Linked DNA regions of Nothobranchius furzeri. The protein of the gene in region 3 purifies or fractionates together with the protein of the main gene of each other region. This does not show direct contact. Links are inferred from orthologs where the notes say so. Each region holds a gene or a part of one and is shown on either strand. Other genes may lie near its edges. The genes, in order: polr2l, polr1c, polr3d, polr3glb, uri1, polr3h and gpn3.

Region 1 (3,026 bases), on a different chromosome or scaffold from region 3:
TCATTGGGTTTAAAATAAACCAAAACATTATTAAACACTGAAATATGACACGTTCTGGGACAAAAGAAGAAGTTGGTTTGCGTGTTTATTCTAACCTCTATATGGGTTTGAAAGCCCACAGCCAGTCAGCCACTAGAATTGAGTCAATTTTTATGCCACTCTGTGTGTTTTCAAAGTCACCCACCAAAAATATGTAATGAAAGCATTTATAATAGCATAAAAGTAGTACTCATACTTCACTGAAAGGGGGAAAAGAATTTGTTACTGCACAAACACACCTGTACAGTGGCTCACTAGCCTTTCAGCTTGCAACTGTAAAACTCATCCGGTTGTCTCTGTTTGGTAGAAAGGTAGTTTTGACAACCAGAATGTATAGCTTCACCATATTTTATACCCCCTAAAAAACTCATAAGAGCATATCACCATCACTAGACAGCTCCTCTGACATGTTCAAAAAGTAGTAAGTCAACACAAAAATAAATTTCACCTTACATTGTACAATACAGTGTACTCTTAAAAAACAAAAGAATATGAAAACTCCTATTTTCATAATTTCAACAGCGTATAAATGCAATAATTCAGGTAGGATTCCTCATTTAGCATATGTGCTGTAGCAAATGAAATTACATAGATGATGTATTACTGTATAATGTTACTGATGGTAATGATAATGACATTTATCATGCTGACTGTAAAGATGACTATGGTGGAAATAATATGTATGTTTTATATTTTAAATATTTTCTTTATGCACCCTCCTCTATGAGTCCAATCATTTAAATGTAAAATATGACAAATCTGAAATTCAATCTTATTAAAGGCAGTGAACCAGTCCTATAGTGAGCATTTCTTTTGTGGATTCATGTTAATATTAATTTGTGTAACTATCTGCATTGGATGAAGATTTTATTTTTGCATGGTACCACCTTCAAAAACATTAGTTTTAATCAACTAATTTAGCTCTTTTCCTTAACATTCTGTCAAGATGGTATATTGAATTGCAATTGCATTTATTAGTTATATCAAGGAAAATGTTAGAGTTTTTAAACTCCTTTATCTGTGGTTACATGGATATTAATACTTTTGCTTCAAAGTTGTTTGTTTTGTAAAAGGAAAAATACATTGTGAGGTGAGTGACTTGACATGTTAGCTAAGTTTGATGGGGAGTACTGCCATTTTTATACGCTCGTTTATGAAGTGAGCTGTGGTCATTATTCAGTAGCAATATTGTGATTCTAATGAATTGTTATTTCACTTTTGCACCACATTTATTAAAACCAAATAGACGAAGACGCTCACACGTTTTCCGTGTCAGTTTCCCCATTTTCGTTTTTTTTTTTTTGGGGGGGGGGGGGGGTCAATTTTGCAAATCACAGGAAACGCTCACCTCTTATTCCGCTTTTATTTTGGCGGATTTTACCCGGAAGTTGTTTTAACGACATAAGGAGTGAGAGAACGCCATCATTATCGTGCTGGAGTTACTTTTACCAAGAAAATAGTACATTCATCTGATCTACAGCCTCAAAAGGTGAAACATATGGTAAAACGTGATAAACTAATGACGTGTGTAAGTTCGTTTAGCGGAATAATTTCAACAGCAGCTAACGCTAGCTGGTGGGCTAGTTACGTAGCGGAATACAGCACTAACCATAAGATTTGATTTCAACCGTCTTTTTTAAGTAATTCGTTTTTGGACTATTGATTAATCCATCTGAAAAAAAAAACTAAATACGTGTTTGCTTTAATCGTTGCAGTGCTAGGTTTTGCTGCATTAACGTTAGCAAAACATGCTCACATGGTGGTCTTACTGCGGTGGTATGCGGAAACGTAAATGTAATTTAAGTTAAACGACTCAACTGTGATTGTTTTACATTGTTTTCAAACATTAACCGGGTTGACTTTTGTTGCAGGTATTTAACGATGATAATCCCTGTGAGGTGCTTCACTTGTGGGAAGATTGTGGGGAACAAATGGGAAGCGTACCTCGGTCTGTTGCAAGCGGAATACACAGAGGGGTGAGAAACAACCACGTCTAGCTTCACGTTTCATGATCTTTTTACGTCCGAAATTGTTCTGGCACGTGTTTGAGTAGCTTTTCTACAAAGGTAGAACATTTCAACATTTGGTCACAATGCAGGCAAGCTAAATAACATTTAAAAAGAAGATTGGGTTTAGATTTGTTTTTAAACCACAATGCCTTTCACCTTTCCTTATGGTTTTCAGCAGTGATTAAAACGTGTTTATGTAACATATCAGGACTGATTTTTGCCATCTCCCTCCCTAGTGATGCTCTTGACGCTCTTGGCTTGAAGAGGTACTGCTGTCGAAGGATGCTTCTTTCTCATGTGGATCTTATTGAGAAATTGCTGAATTATGCTCCGTTGGAAAAATGAATGTTGTGGACTTTGTAGCACCATTATCAGGGTGAATGTGTGTACTATGTAACCTTAAATTACGACCACAGAGAAGAATTTATGGAAACATTTTTCAATTACTGGATTTTTTAAAATAAAATGAATAACCTTGCTTTCTTTCGTCCATGCGTCTACATTTTATGTGGTTGGCAACGACTAGCTCTTCAGATCTTAGCTTTGGAAATTAATGGTTTTAATCGCATAGTTCATTTCATGAGATTGGAAAAATTGATGAATGATTAAATGTCTATTTCCTGTCAATGTGACATAATTTTACAGCTTTGTGTAGTTAGTTATAACAAAACACTGGAGGATTTTTTTTTATTTGTAGAATTTATACAAAAAAAAGAATGAAAACAAGTTATTAACAGGTGTTCACTACATGCATGTTGAAATTCTATAATACAAGAATGAATCTACACAACTTTTTCTTAAAACAAATCAGACATGGTGAATATAACTGATAAAAAGTAGGTTTCATACTTTCAAACATCCAATGTCTCAGCTTCAAAGAGTTTTGACATTTATCAACCTTGGTGCAAGAAAATGCTCATCTTTCCCCGGCAGGATTCTTCAGTCTGGGGAGAAAAGGGAACAAAACCAGAACAAAGT
Region 2 (3,500 bases), on a different chromosome or scaffold from region 3:
CGTTGAAATAAATGGCCAAAAACAGAAAATATCTGGATAACGCGATCCCAGCCCACATTTAACTTTATGCCTTTTTATGCATGGCAGCCCTTCACACAACACGACTACCATTTTCTGCAGTTTAATAAGCTCACAACACACAAAGCGACCAGTGCTTCCTTTGCTTATGCACCTAGGTATCCCATCATGCAACGTGCTTCAGCACCTGATACGTCACCTGACGAGGACTGATGACTACATTGTGATTTCTTAGTAAATATTCTATTTAGTAAGGGATAAACTTTATTGTCTTTATCTGAGTGAATCTATAATTGAGTCAGCAGGTAAACTAGTAGTAGCACATTCCATGTCAAAGAAATTAAAAAGTTTTCAGGAGAGGGAAATATGTTAAAGTGGTTAGCAACAGTGTTAAAGCCGATGGCCCCCTCCATGAGGCCACCACGGCAAAGCAGAACACCATTGTAGCTTCTTCTGGGGAGAAAAACACTTAGGGAAAAAATAAAGTTGATAGCTGAAATAGCATGAAATAATGTAATTAGTCTTTTATCGTCTCTGTTTTATCATTTTAGTAATTTTTGCATGCATGTTTTATTGTTCTCTGCTCTTTTATTATTTTTATGTCATGTTCAGAACCTTGGGCTTCCATAAAGGCAGTGGAAGGTGCTGTACAAATAAAATTTTGTTGAATGATTGATATATTGAGCCACTGGGTATCTGGCCACGCACGCAGCTACATCTTCCACCCATTATATAACACCACAGGGATCCAGGAGTCTGTTGCCATTCGTTAAAATGAGTTTACTAATATAATTTTCAAGCTTTGTCAGCGATAACCCTGAAAAAGACTGAATTGAAACAAAATGTTAAAGGGTCTATTCCATCAATTTTTGCAGAATTAACTTTAAAAGTGATATAAACGATTTATGGACAAACCAGTGTTATTGTAATGAAGAAAACTGCAAAAATGTTGGTAATTGTGCAATTGACACAATGCCTAATTCTTTGTGCAAGCTAGCAATCGTTATATTGCCACCATTTTTCAAGAAAAAATGAGATTTTGGATTCTCAAAGAATGATATTTAAGCCATGTATATTAACTTTTGTTAATAACCTGTAGAGTGCACACAAATGTCAAAATGTTTTTATAATTTATTATTGTTTATTGTTCTCTTTACACTAAGACTTTGCAATCTATGCAACGTTAAAGTTTTTAGATGAAGAACAAGAGTAGACATGACCAAAATTGGATCCTCTTGGCTTTGGGAATTTTTTGATAGCTTTGCCAGTTAAGTGGCGATGGTGTACCCATTAATACAACTTTTTTCCTTATTTTGTCGACAAATGGAGATCTCTGAAGAAAAAAAAACTTTTTTTTCTGCATGTTTATTTAATAATGCAGGTTGAAATGACATTATTAGCTGAAAGAACAAAGGTGCGAGAGCATGCAGGCAGGGAGGACCCAGGTTAGAAATGGCGGACTCAGGGGCGGGGCCGGGTAGGAGACGCACGCTGGATGCTTTGGAGCCCATTCATAACTGCTTTGAGGTCTTGTTAGGGTTCCAAGCCTGAAGGGCAGGGAACCCAATTGTTTTAGTAAGCTTCTCTAGAAGCTCTGGCACCACTGGTGATGAACAAGACAGATAATTAGACGCATGTAATGAGTCCTCTCAAGTCCTTTGGAAATAGGTTTGGAATTTTCATGATGTGTGTGATGTTTTCGTCAAGAGTGACTTCTGACTAAAGTGAGATATTGTTTGCCCTGGGTGAAGAATGGGCCGTCATCATACGTGGGTCAGTGCTGCGTATCCACCCCTCCTCCTAAGAAAGGCTGCTGCTTGATGTTGTGTTGGCAGTAAAACATATTTTAGAGGTAGATTTCTGTATCAAACCTGTATGTGCTTCATTTTGTGCTCAGGCAGGGACCATGCTAAGTTCTCTCCAGTGGCAACAGCAAGTTACCGCCTCCTGCCAGAGATCACATTATTGGAAGTGGTGGAGGGAGAAAAGGCGGAGCTCCTGAAACACTGCTTCTCACGAGGTGTTATAGACCTGGAAGATGTTCGCGGTAAGAATTACCCAATAGAGCTAGAGTCAAGTGTTTTTAAAGAATTGGCTTTGTCATGCCGCATGAATTCCCCACACCAGTGTTTACCTGTAAATACTACATCACTATCCTTTGTTTCCTCAGGTAAAAAAGTGGCCAAAGTGGTGAACAGTCGACTAGATACATGCAGCCGAGAAGTTCTCCGACATGTGGATCTAAAGAATTTGGTGAAGCTGGGAAGGGTTCGAGATCATTTCATATGTGAGTTAGGATAAACTCCTAGAAATTACATCTAAGCACAGACATACAGGTGCTGGCCAGTAAATTAGAATATCATCAAAAGGTTGAAAATATTTCAGTAATTCCATTCAAAACGTGAAACTTGTACATTATATTCATGCAATGCACACAGACCAATGTATTTCCAATGTTCATTACATTTAAATTTGATATTCATAAGTGACAACTAATGAAAACTCCAAATTTGGTATCTCAAAAAATTAGAATATTCTGAAAAGGCTGAATATAGAAGACACCTGCTGCCACTCTAATCAGCTGATTTACTCAAAACACCTGCAAAGGCCTTTAAAAGGTCCCTCAGTCTTGTTTTGAAGGCACCACAATCATGGGGAAGACTTCTGACTTAACAGCTGTCCAAAAGACAATCATTGACACCTTGCACAAGAAGGGCAAGACACAAAAGGTGATTGCTAAAGAAGCTGGCTGTTCGCAGAGCTCTGTGTCCAAGCACATTAACAGACAGGCGAAGGGACGGAAAAAATGTGGTAGAAAAAAGTGTACAAGCTCTAGGGATAACCGCACCCTGCAGAGAATTGTGACGACAAACCCATTCAAAAATGTGGGGGAGATCCACAAAGAGTGGACTGCAGCTGGAGTCAGCGCTTCAAGAACCACCACGAGGAGACTCATGAAAGACATGGGATTCAGGTGTCGCATTCCGTGTGTCAAGCCACTCTTGAACATGAAACAGCGCAAGAAGCGTCTCGTCTGGGCCAAGGACAAAAAGGACTGGACTGATGCTGAGTGGTCCAAAGTTATGTTTTCTGATGAAAGCAAGTTCTGCATTTCCTTTGGAAATCAAGGACCCAGAGTCTGGAGGAAGAGCGGAGAAGCACAGAATCCACGTTGCATGAGGTCCAGTGTAAAGTTTCCACCGTCAGTGATGGTGTGGGGTGCCATGTCATCTGCCGGTGTTGGCCCACTCTGTTTCCTGAGGTCCAGGGTCAATGCAGCCGTCTACCAGGAAGTTTTAGAGCACTTCATGCTTCCTGCTGCTGACCAACTTTATGGGGATGCAGACTTCACCTTTCAACAGGACTTGGCACCTGCACACAGTGCCAAAACCACCAGCACCTGGTTCAAGGACCATGGTATCCCTGTCCTTGATTGGCCAGCAAACTCGCCTGACCTTAACCCCATAGAAAATCTATGGGGT
Region 3 (4,242 bases):
TTGGATGTGCATGCCAAAATGCATTGTCCAAAACTTTGTTGTAAAGAACAGAAAAAAGCTCACCTCTCCAGGGCCATCAGGGCCTGAACATCTGCCAAGGGGTAGATGCCATGGTGCCTGGTCTCCACACTTCCCCCTGTGGTCAGGCCCTGAAGAGCAGCAACAGCAACAAAAGGTCCTGCACCATTTTGGTGAGGCCGCGCTGCTGCTGAAGGATTATTTCCTGTTTCACCAGGACTTCATGCAGGAGAGCTGAAAAGCATTTCAGACACAAAGTGCTTTGATTAGCTTATCACAAATAAAGTACTTTGATTAATCAATGAAAAGCGTTCTTCTTCTCTTCTTCTGTCTCTTCTCCTGGAATGTAAACATACTGAACCAAGCGTCCGACCTTGGTGATGTTACTGTGTGAAGGGGCAGCTGTTAAGGCAGACCATTATAAGATTCATAACGGTACAACCTATATAAGTCTCTAGACACCCATTTTTCTCAACAAAAAAACTGCTAAAAATATATTCAGCCTTGATTGTACACAGCAAGATTTATTATTTACAGTGATATAATTAATAATGCTCGATAACGATCAATACTAGATGTCATTTTATTGTGTTCAATGTTATATTACGTTTATTTATTACAATTATTAATAGCTTTTGTTTCATTTTTGTTCTCTGATGATTTATTTGGAAATGACTGATTTTTGGTTTGTGTTCTCAAAGCTACATAAACAAATTATATCTTGTAAAACCTCCCATAATTCAGTCAGATTCAAAACATTTCATTTCAAGGTATTTAGTAGATGAAGAGTTTTTTTTTCTTGTATGGTGCCTTCAAAAAGGTGCTTCACATTAATAATCTCACAGTAATTTATGTTACATTAACAGACTAAATAACAATGCTTCAACCTGCCCAGCATCAACAACAATCTATACATTTTTACTGATTGATATATATAATTATCATTATGTGGAAAAACAATGTGTTTATCACCAAAAATAGCCTTTTTATATTCCTTCGTAATAGTACTGATAGAGAAGAGAGCCTTAAGTGATTCCCACAGACCCCCTTAAATGAGGCTGCTAACTAACATGCTACATTCACCTTCGTGAGGTTCATTGGGTTGTGAGGAGTCACCTGCTGACATATCACCAGCTGCTGATTCTATAAGGACAAGGACAGCAACCCATTTACCATAATTAGATGAAACATAGTTCCTCTCATTGTGGATATCAAAGCTAGCTAACAGGTTGAATTTAACCAATCACTAACTAAACCCACCTTCCTTTGAGAATAACTGTGCGACATACTGACGCTCTCTCTTCTGCCTGTCCTTTCTCCTTTCATTCTTTCCTTTACTGTGACCCAGACGCGTTGCCCCGCCCGCGTTGCAGCCTGCGGCCATGCGCCTCATTCTGCGCATGCGCGTTCCGAACGGAACAACAACGCAGAGGTGTCATGGCGTCGTGCAGCACAGTGGCTCAGAAACAGAAACACAACTAGCTGGCTCAGAAACAGAAACACAACTAGCTAAGGTTCATTTATTATGACTCGCAGACCGTGAATAAACATAGAATAAAGACCCCGGAAGAAGAAATCAGGTAAGGATCTGGAAAAAGCTTAAATATCACTTTTTCTTCTCTAATGATGAAGGTTAGCGAACTAGTGCTGTATCATTATGTCCACGTGCTGGCGGTTTGTTCATTTCTAGCTGGAATTAAGTATTTTTTTCGTAGTGGGACGGTAGATTAAGAGAAACGAAAACCAGTTTAACCGTAGGAAAGTTTTCAGTGGTAACCAGTAGTCTGACTGCAAGTGAAGAAAGTTAAGTCATTTGGAGACCCAGCTGAAATGACTTCACTGCACTAGTTAACTCCTTCATTAGTAGTGTCCAAATATTTAGCTAAACAGGCCTAAAACGACAAGTTGAAAGTACTTGTGTGCCACTTTTATAAATGCAAACAATTTTTGTTCCCAGCTAAACAATAAAGTTAAATCAATCCTTCACTATTCGTTAGCATGTCTTCATATCACATCAGCTTCCAATGATGGGGTGCTGAAAGACAAAAGCCACAGGCCATGGCTAAAAAAACATCTATATAAGCAACGTGATTAAAACAGCGTCAATAAGATCAACAGTAAAACCAACAGAGGAATGTAAACAGATGCATTTAATTAGCATAATCCCCATTGTAATCCAGAAAAGAGAGAACTGGTTTTCAGTCTGAACCCAATGTTTAATATTATAATATAAAGTACACAATATTTTAGGGCTGCACATAGTAATTAGATATTTTTACGATAAGGATGTGTAGATCTCAGATGCAAAGCATCAACAGTCCAGTGTGGATGTAGATGTGCATCCAGATGTAATACCTGCATTCATATGTTGCTTTTAAATGCTACAAAATCCATCAGAATGTCGTTAGAAATAGGTGCCAATGCAGACAAAAATATCTGTGATTTTTAGATATTTTCTACAAAAAGAGTCTTTGTTGTGTCCACGATGACTACAGATACCAGTAGAAATAATTCCAAGTGAAAAAGGTTGATTTGTATCTCCTACTTTATTTAGTTCAAAATGGCTGACTCAAGTGACACCAGTAATCAGCGAATGGCGACTCCTGGAGGCAGCAGTAACGTTGGACTGCTGATGGGCCGCCGACCACCATCGGGAATCTCTCCAGGTCGCCTCCCTTCCATGAGGTCAAGAGACCTCACACTGGGGGGAGTAAAAAAGGTACTGCACCAGGTCTTTTATTAAAGTATAGTTATTTGTAGTGGTTTATAGTAGGAAGTCGAAAGTCAGGGGGAAACAATACACTGGTGCACCATTACCAGGAACTGAAGTTACCCACATCACAGCTGCGCTTCAGACAGCAGGTTTTGGAGTCTTAGTTCCTGATACTTGGACATTTATCCTCAGATTGGATAACAGTGATTCCTGGGGTTGTGCTCCTGCAGTCATTGGTGTATAAAATGAGCAGAAGTGGAGAGATGACTGAACCTTGTGGGGAACCAGTGGAGAGTGACCTGACAGTACTGTGATGGCCGTTAACCCTGACCCTCTGCTCCCTCCTCGTGAGAAAGGAGAGGACCCAGAGGATGAGATGGGAGTTAACATTCAGGTTCAGCAGTTTACATCCCATAAGATGTGGCTGGACTGTGTTGAATGCACTAGAGAAATCCACAAAGACCAGGTTGATATGTGACTTTGGCTGTTCCAGGTGGGTGAGGGTCTCATGCAGCATAGTTAGTAGAGCATCATCCACCCCTCTGTGTGGTTGGTATGCAAACTGCATTGGGTCCAAACATGCACCCACATCAACCAGCAGCTGGGCCATTACGAGCCTCTCAAAGGTCTTCACAATCAGTGATGTCAGAGCTACAGGTCCAAAGTCGCTGTTGATGCCTGGGTTGTTCTGCTTTGCCACGGGGCAGATGATAGAGGACTTCCAGATGGAGGGGATGGAGTGCTCAGCTAGCGAGCAGTTAAACAGGAAGCAGAGAACTCCCGCCAGCTGACTGCAGATGACCAGAGATCCTGCCTGGTCCTGAGGCCTTGTTGGGGTTGATCCTCTTTAGCGTGCTCTCCATGTCCACAGGCAGGAGCTGCAGGTTCTCAACGGCTTGGGACATAGGGGCTAGCTCCATGAATGTGAAGCGACAGTGTGACGTAGATCTGTCAGGCTTTTCACACCCTAGAGTTTTACTGTCTATTTTCTATCGTGTAGAAGACTTTTTCATGATCAGCCTGCATGAAAAATTCAGTGACCCATAATAATCAGAAATAATGATGCTCTTTAAAATTCTTTATTTCTAATATAATGTGAACAAAGAAAGCTTACCTGATACTCGTAGGACGATTAATACGCTGTGGATCAGTTATGATCCCAACACTGGCTTAGTGTTTACTCAAGCTGTTTACCAAAAGGGAGCTGCTTCCATCTTTGACATTTGCTCACACACCGGGTTGTTTACTCTATGGGTTTGAACTGTTTATTAAAAACAAACAACTTGCATCAAGGGGAAAATGTTCATTCAATTTAGTATTTATGTCTTTTATTTATTTATTTATATCACTGAGATTAATCTATACGAAAATGACAAGACAAAAAACCAATCATTTGTTAAAAACTCGTGGCTTCTAGGGACAAGTGATGACTAAAGATGCAACAGAAGCTGATTTTATTGTACACTGTCTAAAACCTAACACGTTTTTGTTTTCTTCCACTTTTAGAAAAC
Region 4 (4,110 bases), on a different chromosome or scaffold from region 3:
TATTACACTGTCACTAAGTTCACACTCTTAGTCAGATGAAAGTGAAACTGGATCTTGTTGATTTATTGAGACAGAATTCAAAAAGTGACTGTTATCAGATTTTATTTCGGTTTTTGAAAGAGATAAGGGTGTTTGGGAGACTTTGAGTCTTAACCCCCTGTTTGGTTTGGTTATGTGAGCGCTGTTCCAGACCACACTCCACACTAGTTGGTGGCGGTAATGCACCATTCATTGTTTGCCAACCACCAATAAAACACCAAAAGAAGAAGAAGAACTTAGACGGCGCGAAGCCGGATGTAAACAGACAGTTCGGTCTGGTCCAAAACAAGACGGAACCGTGGAGACGTGAATGTTCCTCAGGTTCTAACGAGATGAATTGTCGCTTTAGAGGCGAGACGACGCTTAGTGACCCCTAAAACGGAACGATCCCGGAAGAGCCGTCGCTGGACCGTGTCAGACAAAGCCAACCGGGTCACCGAGAGCTACTCGTCGTTTTGATGAACTGCGTGGGGGCGTGTATTCTCAGCCGGGTGAGATAATCTGGAGCAGAACCTATTGAAGGTCCAGTCTAGTTCAGGACCAGCCCAATGACCAGAACCCTGGCGTTCTGTATTGGTTCTGTTTGTATGGTATTATTGGACCTGGGGATTCTGGAGAGGTTAAAGGATCAATTATATAGAAAAGCTGTTATGAATCTTTGGTTTTCTCCGATAGGGGGCCATGTTGACCCAGACAACAGGAACAAGCTGGACACCAAGCTCTACCAGAACTATTGGTGGTCCGGAATGAAAGACGCTGGCTTCAAGTAGGAAGAGAATCCAACGGACGGAAGTCTGGACAAGGACTTTCTTTAGTAGGTTTCAGTTTAGCATCCTCCTCCTGCTCCAGACTTCCTGTCACACATCAGCTAACATCTCTTCGATCTCAGACGTGCATCCTCTCCATGATGCTCCACAACCTTCATCACATTTGGTCACTTGTCTCCACATCTCTGCTAACATTCAGCCTTCTTGTTCTGTCAGAATCCAGATTCAGCACCACGTCTGACCGGGCTGCAGAGGGTCTTCTTCATTGGATCTGGCAGGCTAGATGCTGATGGGTCAGCACCTATTCCCACTCACAGTCTGCCCTTACACCCCTACGACAGTCCGTCATCACCAACAAAGTCCTCAAACTGAAAACAGACACACCAAGGGCCCCCAAGAGAGGACCACTCTCTCCTGCATATCGCCAGCAATGCTGAAGAACATATCTCACACTCTCCAACTCTCCACAGTCACAGTTACCATCCGGGTGCTCCCCTAATAAAAAACAACCCACCCCGCAGACAACTGTGGCCCAGCGTTAACCGGGTCAAGACCAAAGGGTCCCTCCTCTCACAAGCGAGGGCCAGCCTATGACCACTCACCACCACTACAGGTCATAAAAATCCCTACCCACATCCGCCACAGAGGGTCCGTTCATGTTCTGGTTCTGGTCTGCTTTAGAGAGGCAATAGAGATGGCAGGTCGTGGGCGTGGCCACAGGATGATGAGTTTCAGTGTGGATGCAGTCGGCATCAGAGAATCTCTTCCTCCAACTATTCACCAGCCTACACCTGTGTTTCCAGTAAGCTCCACCCCACTACACCTGAACCCAGTCACACCTGGAGTTTAGGTCACGTGTGGCTTTATTTTGAGCAGACATTGTGTATTTATTTTTTTTGGCATCAAGTGCATTCTGGGATTTGCAGTTTAATGTTTTCCAGGTGATGGAGCAGAAGCCCCTGCCTCTAACAGGTGGAGAAGAGGCAGAGTATTTGTTGGCTCTGAAACAGGACTGCAGGGGAGCCATGAGGAGTCTTCCATGCTTTATCCAACCAGCAGTGGCACAAAGAGGTGAGACCAACAATCACCACTTAACTGCTTATCAGATGTAACTGCTCTCTTATTGTGAAGTTCTCCTCTGCACTTCCTGTCAGATGTGGAGCGATACTCAGATAAATATCACATCAGTGAACAGACTGACAGGCTGAAGGACTGGGTTGTAGGTGAGACCATGAATGCTAATATCTGTAACCACAGTAACCAAGAGAACCCAATGTGATGTGTTGATCAGGAGTAATGCTGATTAGTCGTTTCAGATTGGAAGAGATTCCCCAGAGAACTGCGAGTCCACGTCAGGAAAGCACCCGGTGATGGTCAGTAATCTGATTACTCTCAGTAATTTGAGCCAGGTTGTGTTAGCTGCTGGTAAAATGTGTTTTTGTTAAGGTGCGCTGCTCAGCTGCCGGGACAGCGGTCAGCAGATACAGAAGAAGAAGAAGAAGGTCAGAGAGGAGATCCTTCTGAAGCTGGAGGTGAGTTGGACTGGTCTGGGAAACAGGTCACAGGTAAAATAACGTATTCCAGATCTGTCAGACTCACCTGTGGAGCAGGTGTCTCAGCCACCTGCTGTCCTACCATACCGATGACGTGACCTGTGTGTGTCATACTTGCAGACGCTGGAGAAGAAGGAGGAGCAGGAGAGCTCTGAGGGGGAAGGAGAGATGGAGAAGAAGCAGGATGAGGGTGCTGAGGCTGAGGAGGATTACGATGAGGAAGAGTTTGAAGAGGTGAGGTGACACCCGGTGTGGGTGTGGCAGGGATTAAAGTTCTCCGTCGGGGTGACGGAAATCCGTCAGTTGGAATAGTCAGAAAAAAGTGCTGTCAAAATCCTCTCTCTCTCTCTCTCTCTCTCTCTCTCTCTCTCTCTCTCTCTCTCGCTCTCTCTCTCTCTCTCTCTCTCTCTCTCTCTCTCTCTCTCTCTCTCTCTCTCTCTCTGGAATGTGGTAACAAGCAAGTACGGGGGCGGTTGTGTCATCCGTCTCACTTTTGATTTGCCAGTGATAGACCGCGAGGGTAACTTTAACCGGTTTGCTGGCAGCAAGGTAAAAATAAACCTTTTCCGTGTTTTCAAGAAGAACCAACAATGCAGTTAGAAAAGCAACACAGCAAGAACATACCAAAGAGGAGCGTTTATAGACCCTTTTACTGTTTGTAAACAATATGACGTCAGCGAGAATGCTCGCGCAGCTTGGCAACAGAGAATGGCGTTGTGTCAGGCTTTATCAAGCTACGCTGCGGGGTTATCACCGGCAAATCTTGAATGTTATATTATTAAACTCACTTTAACGAATGGCAACAGACTCCCGGATCCCTGTGGCATTACGGAATGGGTGGAAGATGTAGGTGCGTGGCCAGATATCCAGTGGCCCGATATATATACGTTTTTAGTGGAGAGGCCCAGTAAGTACACACGTGAGAAGCTACGGGCATACAAATCGTTAGATGCATACAACTATGTTGTCTGTGGCCACGTACAGAAAGTAAAATATCACGACATAGACTCTGAGTTTTGCGTCTTGAAGGCAGAAGTCCTTCCTAGCCAAAGACAAGGACACAAGACTGCTATGTACGAGGCTTGGGTCATAGTAAACAAACGAGAGAACTACGTCTTCACAGCCAACTGTACCTGCATGGCAGGGTGAGTATAGCTTAGGTTTCTTTTTTTTTAGCGTGCTCAGAGTACAATCGTGTTAATTTTAGAGAAATACAGTTTATACTAATATGCAGTGGGAAAATACAGATGAATTAGAATGAAATGTTAATTAAAAAATAAATAGACTGCTTAAAAGCAAACCAGCAAGCGCAACTTACTTTATTTAATAGAACACACGTTAACCAGCTTTCTGGTGTAATCTTAGTACATAATTACCTTACCTGATATAAAATGGGCGCTACAAACTCGAGCATTTCGGATCGTGTTTTCAGTCCAGTTTTCATCAACCCTTTTGATGGCCTGCAGCCACAGACACCTCCGATTTTGTTGAAATGGATGTGCTCCCTTCGGAATTCTGTAAAGTTTCAGTCCACTACTTGGAGAGAAGCGATTCTGGCATCCATACACGCAACAACCCGACATTTTATGTGCTCAGAACTTCAAAACAAAGGGTTTAAAACACTGCTTTAGTATCGAGTGTGAATGAGGAAGCCTTCACTCTCGTTGCCAGGCTGCGCTCGCAACTTTTGATGACGTAGGTAGTAAAAGGGTCTATTGGGTACAGAATTCTGACCCGTTCTGGCTGAACAG
Region 5 (3,968 bases), on a different chromosome or scaffold from region 3:
TTCTCATGATTAGAGGACTAGGACAGTTGGGGTCAGTTTCATTTCTAAAATTGTAAATAAGATTAAAATACATCTGCATGCAAATCCCTTCCCTGACCAAGGTCAATGGGGCTGAAACCTGTTTTTATTTGACTAGCCATGAAACAATAAAGTATTTCTACCATCTTCATTTTCCTGATGGCCTCAGACCTCTTTTTTCTTAAGCTATACCTGTATGCCTCAATAAAAGAACACCTGAGGTATTCACAATCTTTTTACATCCCATAAGCACACCATACATTTTTGCTGTTATTGTAGATGCTGCTTTTATAACCAGACACATTCATGAATGAATGTGTATTCTGATTGTACATTTCCATTTTAAATGTGTACACTTAATAAAAATGAAATAAAAACATAAATACAATAACAAGGTATTTTAATAAAATAAAATTATATATATGTGTGTGTGTGTGTGTGTGTGTGTGTGTGTGTGTGTGTGTGTGTGTGTGTGTGTGTGTGTGTGTGTGTGTGTGTGTGTGTTGAAGAATTTTCTGGTGTGAGACATTCATCTCAAAGTTTAGTGAGTAGTTTTATTTTTTCAAAGCTGTAAAGCTGGTAAAACTGCAAGTAGGAAGGGTGAGGTTCCCATTTTCCCATAAAAACACTAGCTGGTTTAAACTTTTCTAGTTTTATAGTGAGACGATGAGCTTATTGAATGTTTTGTGGTTTAAATGTAGCCCATCATATAAAAAATGAATTAAATATATCTGTATAAGAACAAACTCCATGGAATTATATTATATTATATTATATTATATTATATTATATTATATTATATTATATTATATTATATTATATTATTCCAACAGACCGCTTCTTGAGTGAGTCGTGGCAGATGGCTGCTGATACTGAGCCAGGATCCTCTGGAGGTGTCTTTCCACTGTTTTCTTCTCCACTGTCGCTGCATGCTTGCTTAGTATGAGGAATGATGTACGATGCAATTTGCTGGGTTCCTTATATAGGAAACTTTTTTCTGATTGGCTTAATGAATTGGAATGTTTATGATGTGAAGTGCCTTGAGACGACTCTTGTCGCTATTTAAATAAACTTGAATTGAAGTGTTTTATTTTGGAAATATTAACCGGAAGTCTGCCTGAAACTTCTTCCGTGTTGCTGTAGAGTGCATGGCGCAGCGAAAGTGACGAGGAGAATCTGCTAATCTTTGGGATACCGAAACCGTGGATTTATTTGGGAATAATGCAGAAATTCTGAAGTGAGTGTGTGAGATGAAATCACCTCCGAGAGTGTGGACAACCATCACTGCCCCTTTGATGAATACGTGCAGAACGGGTCTCAGGAATAGCGTCTGCTGGATTCATAAACACTTCTTTAGGACTCACAACAACCCCTGAGCTTTGTTTTTGTGGGTCACAAAACGCACAGATTGACCGTTTTGCATGTGAATTGACGATGACTGAAGGTGGGAAAATGAATTTGGAGCGTCTCGGTGGAGTTGCGAGGCTCCGACAGGAACACGAGAAGGTAAGTTTTGGTGTTTAGGTGGTGGGCAGAACCCGCGAGGCCAGCCGAGCCACGCGGTTGGATCATTTGGGAGTGTTTAAACCACGAGTGGGTCAGCTGAAGAGCTTATTTCTTCTGCGCACAGACGCCTCTGCACGACACTGGTTACGTCACATGTCTCATCTGTGTTTTTAGGTTACCTTTAGCTTCCTTCTAGAAGTTTCTTACGTTCAAATTTAAGCCTGGAGGTGTGTTTGGCTAATTTTGTTTACTTGCACACAAGTTTCACTTGTGTGGAAGTTTTAAGATTTTGCTTTGATTCATTTAGATTATTGTCTAATGCAAATCGGGAAGTCCTATGCCCCCTATAACAACTCAAAAGGTCACCGGAAGTTATTAGAGCTTGACTAAAACTAAAGTTCAGACGTGAGCCAGCTGTTTTGTTGAAGAGAAAGCAAAAGCTTAGCCTTTTATTTTGTTTTTGACAGTTTTTTTTGGGGGGGGGGGGGGGGGAGCATTTGTATTATTTAATAATACAATACTAATAATTATATACATTTAATTTCCCTTTGCCAACACAACTTTATTAACCTATTTATTACAATTGAGGGCGTTTATGAATTGAAAATTCCCAGTAGGAATAAATATATGTATTATCCTGACATCAGATTGTGTTGACCTGAATTTGTAAACAAACTAAAATGATCTGTCCTAAAACAGGTGGTGAAAGACTGTGAAAGTCGGATTCAGCACTGGTAAGCATCCAAAACTCACAAGAATGTCTCTAGAAAAGGTTTGGAATGGTTTTCTACTTTATTCTAATGTAATCCTGAACTATATTACACTGTGATTAAAGTATTTTTTGAAAATGTAATCTGAAAAGGTGTTTTTTCCCTTAACTTTGACACTTAATAGATTTGTGATTTTTTAACTTGTTTTTTGTTCTACCAATTAGATCACCATACACTTTGTTTAGAACAACCATATGACACCCTGATGGCCCAGTTTACTCATGAGATCACTAAACACTTAGAATTTAACAACTGAATGACATCTTGCTGGGCCAGTTTACCCATCAGATCACCATACACTTTTAAAAAACGTATGACACCCAGACTTGTATATTTTTTAAAGCTCTATTGTAGGAATGCAATGATACCACTTTTTTCCAAACCGATACGATACCGATACTTGGATCTGAGTACTCGCCGATGCCGATTACCAATACCGATACTTCTACCACACGAAAAAATGCAATGATTTGGAATACAGATTGTATTTTCTTCTCTGCTTTCAACAGGAGACGACTGTGAGGTAGATAAAAAGTAAAATATATGAATGGAAATCATCACAAAACTAAAATATTAGGTGAACAGAAATGACAAGTTACAGGGAAGCCATTTTCAAGCAACTGCATTGGTATCGGTTCCTGGTATCAGTTAACTTTTACCGATACGATACTGGTACTGGTATCGATACCAGTATCATATCTGTGCATCCCTACTTTATTGTCTAATTTTATTTTTATTTTTTTTAGAGATAAAAGGTGGTAAAATAAAAATAAAAAATTGTGATACACATTTATCAGTCTGTTGGTGTGGATGGTAAAACATGAACACAACTGGAAATAAACTGCAAAACACCAGTGAATGTGCAGCCACTCAGTTATCATTAAAAATATAAATGACTCACTTTTTCTCATACTTTGCTGTCTGTATGCTGAACTGACGGCTGCTAAAGTTAAAGTCAAGTTAAAGTCCCATTAGTTGTCACACACACTGATGTGACCCATCCCCTGGGGGAGCAGTGAGCTGCAGACACAGCTGCGCTCGGGAACCATTTGGTGGTTGAAACCCCCAATCCAACTCCTTAATGCTGAGTGTCAAGCAGGGAGGCATTGGGTCCCATTTTTTTCTAAGTCTTTGGTATGACCCGACCAGGAATCGAACCCTGATCTCCCAGTCTCAGGGTGGACATTCTACCACTAGGCCACTGAGCTGGCTCAGAATGCAGAGGAGGTTTAGATGATCGTGCATAAACTGCATTCATGCTGCTCTGATATGTATGGTGTTCTGTCCGAACACCAGTCCCCAGTACTCCTTAAAGTCCACCAGTTGGTTTTAAGGTTTGGTGTGAATCAGGTTTTAGTTAAAGTTAGTTAGGAATAGATCTGCATTGGTTATCATTACTGTGCAGGTATGGGTTAGGCGTAATGCAGTCACAAAAATGAATGGAAGTCAATGGAAGCCCTCACGAACAAAGAAAGACAAACATGCATTTGTGCTTCTACTGGGGACAACAGCTCTCCAAAATAACTTGAGAAGGATGCTGAGAAGTGATTGAATCCTGGACTTAATGAAAGGACCAGAAGAGTGTGTGTGTGTGTGTGTGTGTGTGTGTGTGTGTGTGTGTGTGTGTGTGTGTGTGTGTGTGTGCACGTCAAGACAGTAGAGCTCTTTACTCAA
Region 6 (3,500 bases), on a different chromosome or scaffold from region 3:
TTTGAAAATTTAAGACCTCTGGAAAATGTATTTAAGTATTATTTGTAATTTTTAAGGCCTTAAATTTGGAAAAGCTAATTTAAGACCTGCGGATACCCTGGACGAGTATGGCAGAAAGCCCCGTTGACTTACATCGGTAGCGGCGAGTGCGTCATGTTGTTTGATATCCAATAGCATGCAGAGACAGTCTGGAAGAAAACCGTAGACCCAGGCCCACTACTGAGAGCCGTCAACGGGCCGTGTCCAGACTATATATTCACCTATAGAGGATGGCTTCCCAGGCTAGGGTTTCTCATAACCAGATGTTTAACCTATTCACTGCCAATGACGAGTAAATTCGTCATTTGCATGTTTTTACTGTGTGGGCATCGGACGAGCCCCCACACCGTGAGAACAAACACCTCAGCTCTAAAGCGGATCTTCATCCGTATACGTCACACGTCACGTGATCAGGAAGCAGAACATCCATGTGTTAGATCGTTTTGGGCCGCTGCTGTAAAAAAAAAAGTGAGGCGCGAACCGGAAAAGCTTCTGCCGATCACAATTCAACAACAGATAATGAAAGAACGGATAACGCTCGAAACGCGCGGATTCTTCCTGATGTAAGAGGTGAGTCTCCGCTTTGTTTTGGTTGTTTTGGCGTCAACGTCATCCTAGCGCGCAACGTTCTGTGGCTTAAAAAAAACTGTAAAAACGGTGAGAAACGCTGGCAGCGAATGAGTTAAAGCTCCCATTTACTTAAAAGACAAATAAAATATCAAAATCTAATTCAGTCAAAATACTGAAAACATGAACTGAGCACCAGAAAGAGTTTACAAATACCCTGAAATGGTGACTGCTCCCACAGTTTAATCATCTTTACGAGAGCTGATTTTTAATTTGTCTGTATGATTCTTACAATCAGAGTGTACGGTGCCTCCTTCTTCCCCTCGCTGGCCTCTGCTGGCGGCGCCGTTGCCTGCCCCGCTTGTGCCGGCGCGTCAGACGCAGCTACAGCAGGGCCTGTTGGTGACGTGTCCACGAAGACTTGATCCGCCACCCGGAAGCGGATCTCCTCCCCTTGGTCCATGTAGAGGTCGTGCCCTCCCTCATCCGTCTCGTACTCCCAGACCCAGACCTGCTCCGCTTCATCACTGGAGTTACGGCTAAGGAAGGCTCAACCAACCCCAGATCCATAAGACTCCAGTCACACACTCAGCAAATGCAGTAAAAACAAAACCACTGTGCTTCTAACTCTGGATACAACTTTGCAGGCTGCTGGAGAGACTCAGGAGGGATGAGAATATCATCAAAGAAGCCCATGGTCACTGTGAAGCAGCAGAGTGAGAAGCTCCTGTTGAAATCTGGTACACAGCTGTTAAAGCGTTTACTGTTAAAGGATATTTTGTCATTCTTGCATCAGACATGAAAGAAACAGCGTACCTGGAAAGCAGAGGATAACAGTAAAATAACATATAATTGCAGCAATGACTAAAATTCCATATATATAAGGGATGTGTATTGGTGAAATTTTGGCAATACGACAAGTATCACGATATAGGGGAGACAATACAACATATCACGATACATTGCCATACAATACGATATCAGCAATTTTTTTAGACAGAATTTTTTGTAGGAATATTGAATAAACAGTCCAAACTAGGGCTGGGCGATGCGACCTAAAATCAGTGTCACAATATATTGAGAATTTCACCTCGATAACGATAAATTGGCGATAACTACAGGTATGCGCAGAAACAAAAGTTGTCCACTAGATGGGGCTGTCACACGTATTACTTGAGTCACATTTTTACGTGACTCAAGGTGGTACAGCTTCTTAAAGGGATGTGAACGTTACCAACCTACACATCTTTTCATTTCTTTATTATCGAATTTATTGACACGGGAAAAATGATCACGATAAGAGTCAGAAATTTTGATAATGATAAATTTTCGATTTATTGCCCAGCCCTAGTCCAAACTGATACTTAACATTTTTAATGCGAGGTATCTGAACCATAACAGAGGGATTTATATTTCAGTGGTGGAAACAAAACACATTGCACACTGCTGCCAACTAGCGGTCTGCGTTTAAATTGCACCAAAAGAAAAGAAAATACACAAATATTTGCATGTAAATTCTTCCAAAAATTTGATACATGGATTTTGAATATTAATATAAAATCACAGGATAAAATATCACAAAATATTACCATATCGATATTTTCGATATACATCTTTTGAATATCAATACAATATCACGATATATTGCCATATCGATATTTTCTTACATCCTTTAATGTGTGTATATATATATATATATATATATATGTATATATATATATATATATATATATATATATATATATATATATATATACACTATATATATATATATTTTTTTAATTTGTATGATAAATGATAAAATCATCTAGGTGTAGAAATTCCATCATGGCTATTTTTCAAGTGCTTCCATAATTTTCTTTTTTATATTCCTGCAAATGTGTTCATATTAAACACACACATCTATGTTAAAGTATCACAATATTAAAGGTGGAATATTTTGCAAAACTCACATTTTGCATCTTTTTTTTTTTTTTTTTGCTGCCATGTGGGTCTCTACTAGGGATGTCCCGATCCGATCACATGATCGGAAATCGGCCCCGATCACGTGGTTTCAGACTGATCAGGACTCGGGCTTTACTTCCCGATCCAAGCCCCGATCCGGAGTTGGATACTGGCTTCAAATTACAGGAGAGCAACTTGGTTCTCCTTAATGGTTGTCAGGCTCACCTGATGCCCTTAACTCACACACCCAGAAGGAGCACAAAAGAGATCCAGTTTGTACCTATATTATATTATTTACATGGACTCAGAGTAGCGGGGATTCTTTTGGGGCAGAGATGCAGAGCGGCAGGCAGACCGCTGATTATTTATGGACTCCAGGTGTGTTCTGCACACGGCCACAGTAACATTTTCTAAGTTTCTAAAGGGCCTCACCAAAAAATATATAATTAACACACAGTCGTTTGTGTCCGTTCATTTTCTCTCTGGTAAGTTCTGTCTGTATTTGAGCATGATGTGTGGACGCGCTCGCGCCGCAGCGCTCGTCACTGGCGCAGCCGTGCAGCGCGGCGCTCACTCCGCTTTTTTTGTGGTCAATAGATCAATTTGATCTGCTAGTTAAAAAGTTACTTGTGAGGTGAAAAAGAAGGAAGCAGGGAGGAGTTTGTCTGGAGGACTGGATCCACCCCTCACATGCAAGAAATAGTTGCTGCTGAAGGAGCAGCGGCTCTCACCCTGGATTCTCATGTCAGTTCTCTTGTTCGCTCTTTCTTCGTCCATCTCAGGAACATTGCTAAGCTGAGTCCCATTCTGTCCCGCTCTGAACTTGAGACAGTTCTCCACACCTTCATCTCCTCACGCTTAGACTACTGTAACTCTCTTTTCACGTGTCTGAGCAGAACCTCCCTGAACCGTCTACAGGTGGTTCAGAATGCCTGTGCTCGGCTTCTGAC
Region 7 (4,011 bases), on a different chromosome or scaffold from region 3:
AGGGCCAAATTTCAGAGAGTCATCCTCCATCACATCATCGACCTGGATGAGCTCACGGATGTCTGACAAAGCAGGACTGCAATCAAATATAGTGTGCTTCACGGAGAAAGTAATTAATTTAAAAAATCCTCCTGATGTTACTTGTACTTGTGAGTTACCGTAAATCCTCTAATACAGGCCCGGGCCTGTATTTGACTCAAGCTCATCAAGCTCCAGGCCTTTATTGGAAGGAGGGCCAGTATTAGAGGCAGGCCTCTATTTCTATTTGAGCAAAATGAACTATGGTTCGCTGGAGTTTTTGACAATTAAAAGTGCGCCCACATTTTCAAAGTTAAACACATTTCTTTTAACAACGGTAGTTCCTGCTTCAGCCCTCTCCCCCCTCCCCCTGCTTCAGCCCTCTCCCCCCTCCCCCTGCGCAGCGGCCGCAAACTCACTGATGCGCCTGCAGCCTCTCGGAGTTCCTGCTGCTCTAAACATTAAAATAATTATTTCATTTTCTGTTCCTCACTTCTGATGACCTTCAATGGTGTCTGTTTGTTGCAACAGCAGGTACAAAAACTAACTTGTTTTTATTTGACTATTTTTCTGTCCTGTCTGTTTATTATCTTCCTGCATCTCCTCTCAATCCTAAAGAAAAACTGCTGCCTGGGTTCATATTCACCTCATGAGTTACCTTTGAACTGCAGTTCTAAAAGATCTACCGACCGCAAAAACAGCGGAGCGCTTGCTGTTTGGCGGCTGTATCAGTGATCAGTGCGTCGGAGGACAAGGTGATGCGCGCAGCGTCCCGCTCCACAGCGTGCAGCGAAACACATCAGGCGCAAATAAAAGACAGAAAAAATTAAAGGAAATGAACTGACATGAACGATCGCGTGTTAAATTAGTTTTTGAGGTGGCGACACCTGATTGTTACTGTGGCCGTGCTCAGGAGGCAGATCTACCGACCGCGAAAACAGCTGAGCGCTCCCTGCTGTGATCTGTGCGTCGGAGGACAAGTTGATGCGCCCCGCTCCACAGCAGCGATACACATCAGGCGCAAATAAAAGACAGAAAACATTAAAAATTAACCGACATGAACGATCGCGTGTCAGTACCTACGGTCTGGCACTTGAGTTTTACCCCCAAAAAGAGAATGTGATCATACGATAATTCAATAGGGAGCGTGGTTTCACAGACGCGGAAGTGAGAGCGTCGGTGAAACGCCGGCTGATCTAGGAAACCCCCGAGCGTTCGAGCGTCAACGAAGTGACACGGAAATGCCGGGCTTTCCAGAAGTAAGTAAGATAACTTACTATGAGCTGATAGTTCGTTGGATTGATCGGTAGGTTGGAAACTCTGATCGTGAATCTGAAGAAACGATGACTGAGTGGTGAGCTGGAAAGGCAACTTCCGTTTATAGCCGCGGTTTGTGACGTAGGTGCGACGTGAAGGGAATCCCCGCGAGGGGCATGCTGGGAGTCCCTACTTCGCGGATTTTCACCTATCGCGGCCAGGTCTGGAACGCATCTACCGCGATAAACGAGGGATTACTGTAGTTCATACACACCCTACTGCTGCTCTCCAGAGTGTTCTGCAGCATAATCAGCACGTTCTCTTTGAACTTGATAGTGTAATGACCTGGCTGGGGTTGTAAGCCAGGTGCATTCTGGGTATTGTGTTATATGTGTTTCCTATCGTTCTGCTAGTTCCTATGTGCTGATTTGCGTGTTGTGTGAGTGTTATGTAAGCCACAGGGAAGGTGATGTGTGTTCTGTGGAGTGGGTTGAATTAGCATGGTTAACTGACACCATGACTCTGTGTGGTAGGAGCGTGATAGAGGATCGTGTCTGTAGCGTTACAAAGCGTTGAAGAAAAGGCCTAATAAAGGTCTGCGTGAACCTCTACTGCCTCCTGCTGGTTGATTTGGGAACTATAACCCTGCCGCTGGGACGCTCGTACTTGCTTGTTACCACATGCCATCCGGCCACAATAAGAGACCGGCCATTATTTACCTCCGCTGACTCTGACACCGGCCAAAATTGGAGACCCGGCCTTTAATTGAATACCGGCCTGTATTAGAGGATTTACGGTAATCCTATCAGAAGTAATTGTTTTACTAAACTGAATTTAAATAAAAAGACCAATCCACAAAATCACAATCACAAAGTGTTTCCATATTTTTTATCCGAAACTACAAGTGATCACCATGTAACAATGAAACCTAACCTAATCTATTTGAATTTCTTCATTTTACACAATTTCTGTTTTCCTATTAAGCCTTTCTGATGTGATCTTTAAAAGTCTTTACCTGCCATCACAGGGTAGTCAAAATGCTCAGCAGCAGGATCCAGATTTACCACCTGAACAGATCGGTTTAAGGCCTCTGCATGCTGGACCAAGGTGGAGCAGTAAGTACTCTGAAATATCAGACCAAAAAAACGAAGACAGAAGTTATAGTTTGTGTAGCACTTGCCTTAGCTCAACATGTTAGCAACGCATTATAACATAAGAAAGCATTTATGACGTCCAGCGTGATCAGCGATGACTTACCTTACCGCTGCCCGCCGGGCCCATCACTAGTTGGGCATAACGAGGCATTTTATCCCACCTTTACCACACCTGTGACCTGGTTAATTTAGTTCACGTAGCTTCTCACAGTTAGCTAACTGTTGACCTGAGAGTTTTTCTTCTGCTTTTCCGTAACATCCGGTTGCCTGCCTCACTACTGCCCCCTCTTGATTAGCTGGTGAATTATCACATTGAACCGCGAACAAAAATTCAAATGTATTTATTTATCTTATAACGTGACCTAAACATCTAACAATTTCTTCAATGTGTAAAGAATAATTATGATTTAGCTCATTTGATTAGCCTTAACAGCAGATTTTTGTTGTATACATTTTAGCTAACAGTAGATGGCGGTAGAGGGTATTGACAGAAAAAAGAAGGAAGTAGAAGGTAGCTAGAGAACACGAGGAAGACACAAACTACTACATCACGATGAAGTGTTGCAGCAACAACACAGTCAGAAATACTTGACCTGGTCACTTGTCTTCATCATTTAACTTTATTATAAAAATGGCTAAATGTTTAGACAAAGTGAGTTGATTGACAAGTTAAGCTAGTAGAAGAACTTTCGCGTGAAAGCGAAAATCTTGTTGGTAGGTATCCAATATGGTTTTGTATACAGTAAAGCATCGAGTGTTTATTTTATTGGGTTGCTTTGTGTGTTATGGTTTGGCTTTAAAGTAGCTGCGCATGCTAAATCAATTTTGTTAGTTAGTCAGAAATATTAGCTTCGAGAGTTCGATTAATGATTCAAACATTTGCCATTATCTATCTGGGAGTTTTCGAAAGTGAACTTTACAGACTCGCTGTTACTGCAGCGGTGTTCACGATAACACCGCCCTTCACTATCAAACGAAACATATTTTTACGTTTTTCAGCGTTCACTCTTTGTTTTATTGCAGAAAGGGAAGTCGAAGACAGCGAGAGGTGTTTAGTAGCTTAGATCAAGTCATTATTAGCTTCAAACCCACCGCAGTGCATCACGGGTTATTTGATCATTTTTCTTCTTAGACGTTTTTAATTAAACAGCAATGTCTAGCTAATCTTCGTGACCAAGGAGCTTTCGTAAGTAAGTATGTGTTATGTAATTTTTAAAGTTAATAAATTATTTACATGAATGGAAAAGGTCACAACTTTAAAAGCAGCTGATTCAAGTTATGTTTTAAATCTAGCTTTAAAGAGCAAGTCACTCCCTACCAGATTCTTACTCAACTCCCACATCCTGTTTGAAAAAATGCAACAAATGCTGTTGCCTAGCAGACCAAGAGGGTGGAGCCACTAACAAATGCACACACAGGCTCACAACAAGTTTGTGTCATCATATGGTACCAGCTAATGTTTTAGGGTACGTATTAGCCAATAGCGATGGCAGATTTAAATTCAAATGCAGTGCAGTTTTTACCCGACAACGTCAGAACACTGACAGTTTTAGGCAGAAATTTTAAATTTTAACTAAAGTGC

Evidence for each region.
Region 1: the proteins of polr3d (region 3) and polr2l purify together in Homo sapiens (affinity purification with mass spectrometry; 3 studies listed by BioGRID and IntAct, counting the BioPlex papers as one, with this or other methods). This does not show direct contact. The link is inferred for Nothobranchius furzeri from reciprocal best matches to the Homo sapiens genes POLR3D and POLR2L.
Region 2: the proteins of polr3d (region 3) and polr1c purify together in Homo sapiens (affinity purification with mass spectrometry; 6 studies listed by BioGRID and IntAct, counting the BioPlex papers as one, with this or other methods). This does not show direct contact. The link is inferred for Nothobranchius furzeri from reciprocal best matches to the Homo sapiens genes POLR3D and POLR1C.
Region 4: the proteins of polr3d (region 3) and polr3glb purify together in Homo sapiens (co-immunoprecipitation; 4 studies listed by BioGRID and IntAct, counting the BioPlex papers as one, with this or other methods). This does not show direct contact. The link is inferred for Nothobranchius furzeri from reciprocal best matches to the Homo sapiens genes POLR3D and POLR3GL.
Region 5: the proteins of polr3d (region 3) and uri1 purify together in Homo sapiens (affinity purification with mass spectrometry; 3 studies listed by BioGRID and IntAct, with this or other methods). This does not show direct contact. The link is inferred for Nothobranchius furzeri from reciprocal best matches to the Homo sapiens genes POLR3D and URI1.
Region 6: the proteins of polr3d (region 3) and polr3h purify together in Homo sapiens (affinity purification with mass spectrometry; 6 studies listed by BioGRID and IntAct, counting the BioPlex papers as one, with this or other methods). This does not show direct contact. The link is inferred for Nothobranchius furzeri from reciprocal best matches to the Homo sapiens genes POLR3D and POLR3H.
Region 7: the proteins of polr3d (region 3) and gpn3 purify together in Homo sapiens (affinity purification with mass spectrometry; 3 studies listed by BioGRID and IntAct, counting the BioPlex papers as one, with this or other methods). This does not show direct contact. The link is inferred for Nothobranchius furzeri from reciprocal best matches to the Homo sapiens genes POLR3D and GPN3.

The regions. Positions count from the first base shown.
Region 1 is NC_091749.1:62,790,861-62,793,886, forward strand, and holds polr2l (DNA-directed RNA polymerases I, II, and III subunit RPABC5), read left to right. Parts: upstream 1-1,389; 5' UTR 1,390-1,528; intron 1,529-1,910; 5' UTR 1,911-1,920; coding exon 1,921-2,015; intron 2,016-2,284; coding exon 2,285-2,393; 3' UTR 2,394-2,526; downstream 2,527-3,026. UniProt on the Homo sapiens protein: DNA-dependent RNA polymerase catalyzes the transcription of DNA into RNA using the four ribonucleoside triphosphates as substrates.
Region 2 is NC_091752.1:59,366,707-59,370,206, forward strand, and holds part of polr1c (DNA-directed RNA polymerases I and III subunit RPAC1), read left to right. Parts: intron 1-1,915; coding exon 1,916-2,065; coding exon of another isoform or gene 2,066-2,068; intron 2,069-2,188; coding exon 2,189-2,305; intron 2,306-3,500. UniProt on the Homo sapiens protein: DNA-dependent RNA polymerase catalyzes the transcription of DNA into RNA using the four ribonucleoside triphosphates as substrates.
Region 3 is NC_091757.1:39,754,434-39,758,675, forward strand, and holds the start of polr3d (DNA-directed RNA polymerase III subunit RPC4), read left to right. Parts: upstream 1-1,442; 5' UTR 1,443-1,598; intron 1,599-2,572; 5' UTR 2,573-2,578; coding exon 2,579-2,737; intron 2,738-4,237; coding exon 4,238-4,242. UniProt on the Homo sapiens protein: DNA-dependent RNA polymerase catalyzes the transcription of DNA into RNA using the four ribonucleoside triphosphates as substrates.
Region 4 is NC_091745.1:58,816,537-58,820,646, forward strand, and holds the start of polr3glb (DNA-directed RNA polymerase III subunit RPC7-like), read left to right. Parts: upstream 1-1,310; 5' UTR 1,311-1,500; coding exon 1,501-1,608; intron 1,609-1,747; coding exon 1,748-1,877; intron 1,878-1,960; coding exon 1,961-2,029; intron 2,030-2,113; coding exon 2,114-2,179; intron 2,180-2,252; coding exon 2,253-2,338; intron 2,339-2,479; coding exon 2,480-2,593; intron 2,594-4,110. UniProt on the Homo sapiens protein: DNA-dependent RNA polymerase catalyzes the transcription of DNA into RNA using the four ribonucleoside triphosphates as substrates. Specific peripheric component of RNA polymerase III which synthesizes small RNAs, such as 5S rRNA and tRNAs.
Region 5 is NC_091744.1:78,624,188-78,628,155, reverse strand, and holds the start of uri1 (unconventional prefoldin RPB5 interactor 1), read left to right. Parts: upstream 1-1,168; 5' UTR 1,169-1,452; coding exon 1,453-1,524; intron 1,525-2,223; coding exon 2,224-2,258; intron 2,259-3,968. UniProt on the Homo sapiens protein: Involved in gene transcription regulation. Acts as a transcriptional repressor in concert with the corepressor UXT to regulate androgen receptor (AR) transcription.
Region 6 is NC_091752.1:65,981,226-65,984,725, reverse strand, and holds part of polr3h (DNA-directed RNA polymerase III subunit RPC8), read right to left. Parts: intron 1,308-3,500; coding exon 1,244-1,307; intron 1,134-1,243; coding exon 899-1,133; intron 1-898.
Region 7 is NC_091746.1:47,858,027-47,862,037, reverse strand, and holds the start of gpn3 (GPN-loop GTPase 3), read right to left. Parts: upstream 2,801-4,011; 5' UTR 2,581-2,800; coding exon 2,533-2,580; intron 2,400-2,532; coding exon 2,291-2,399; intron 63-2,290; coding exon 1-62. UniProt on the Homo sapiens protein: Small GTPase required for proper localization of RNA polymerase II (RNAPII). May act at an RNAP assembly step prior to nuclear import.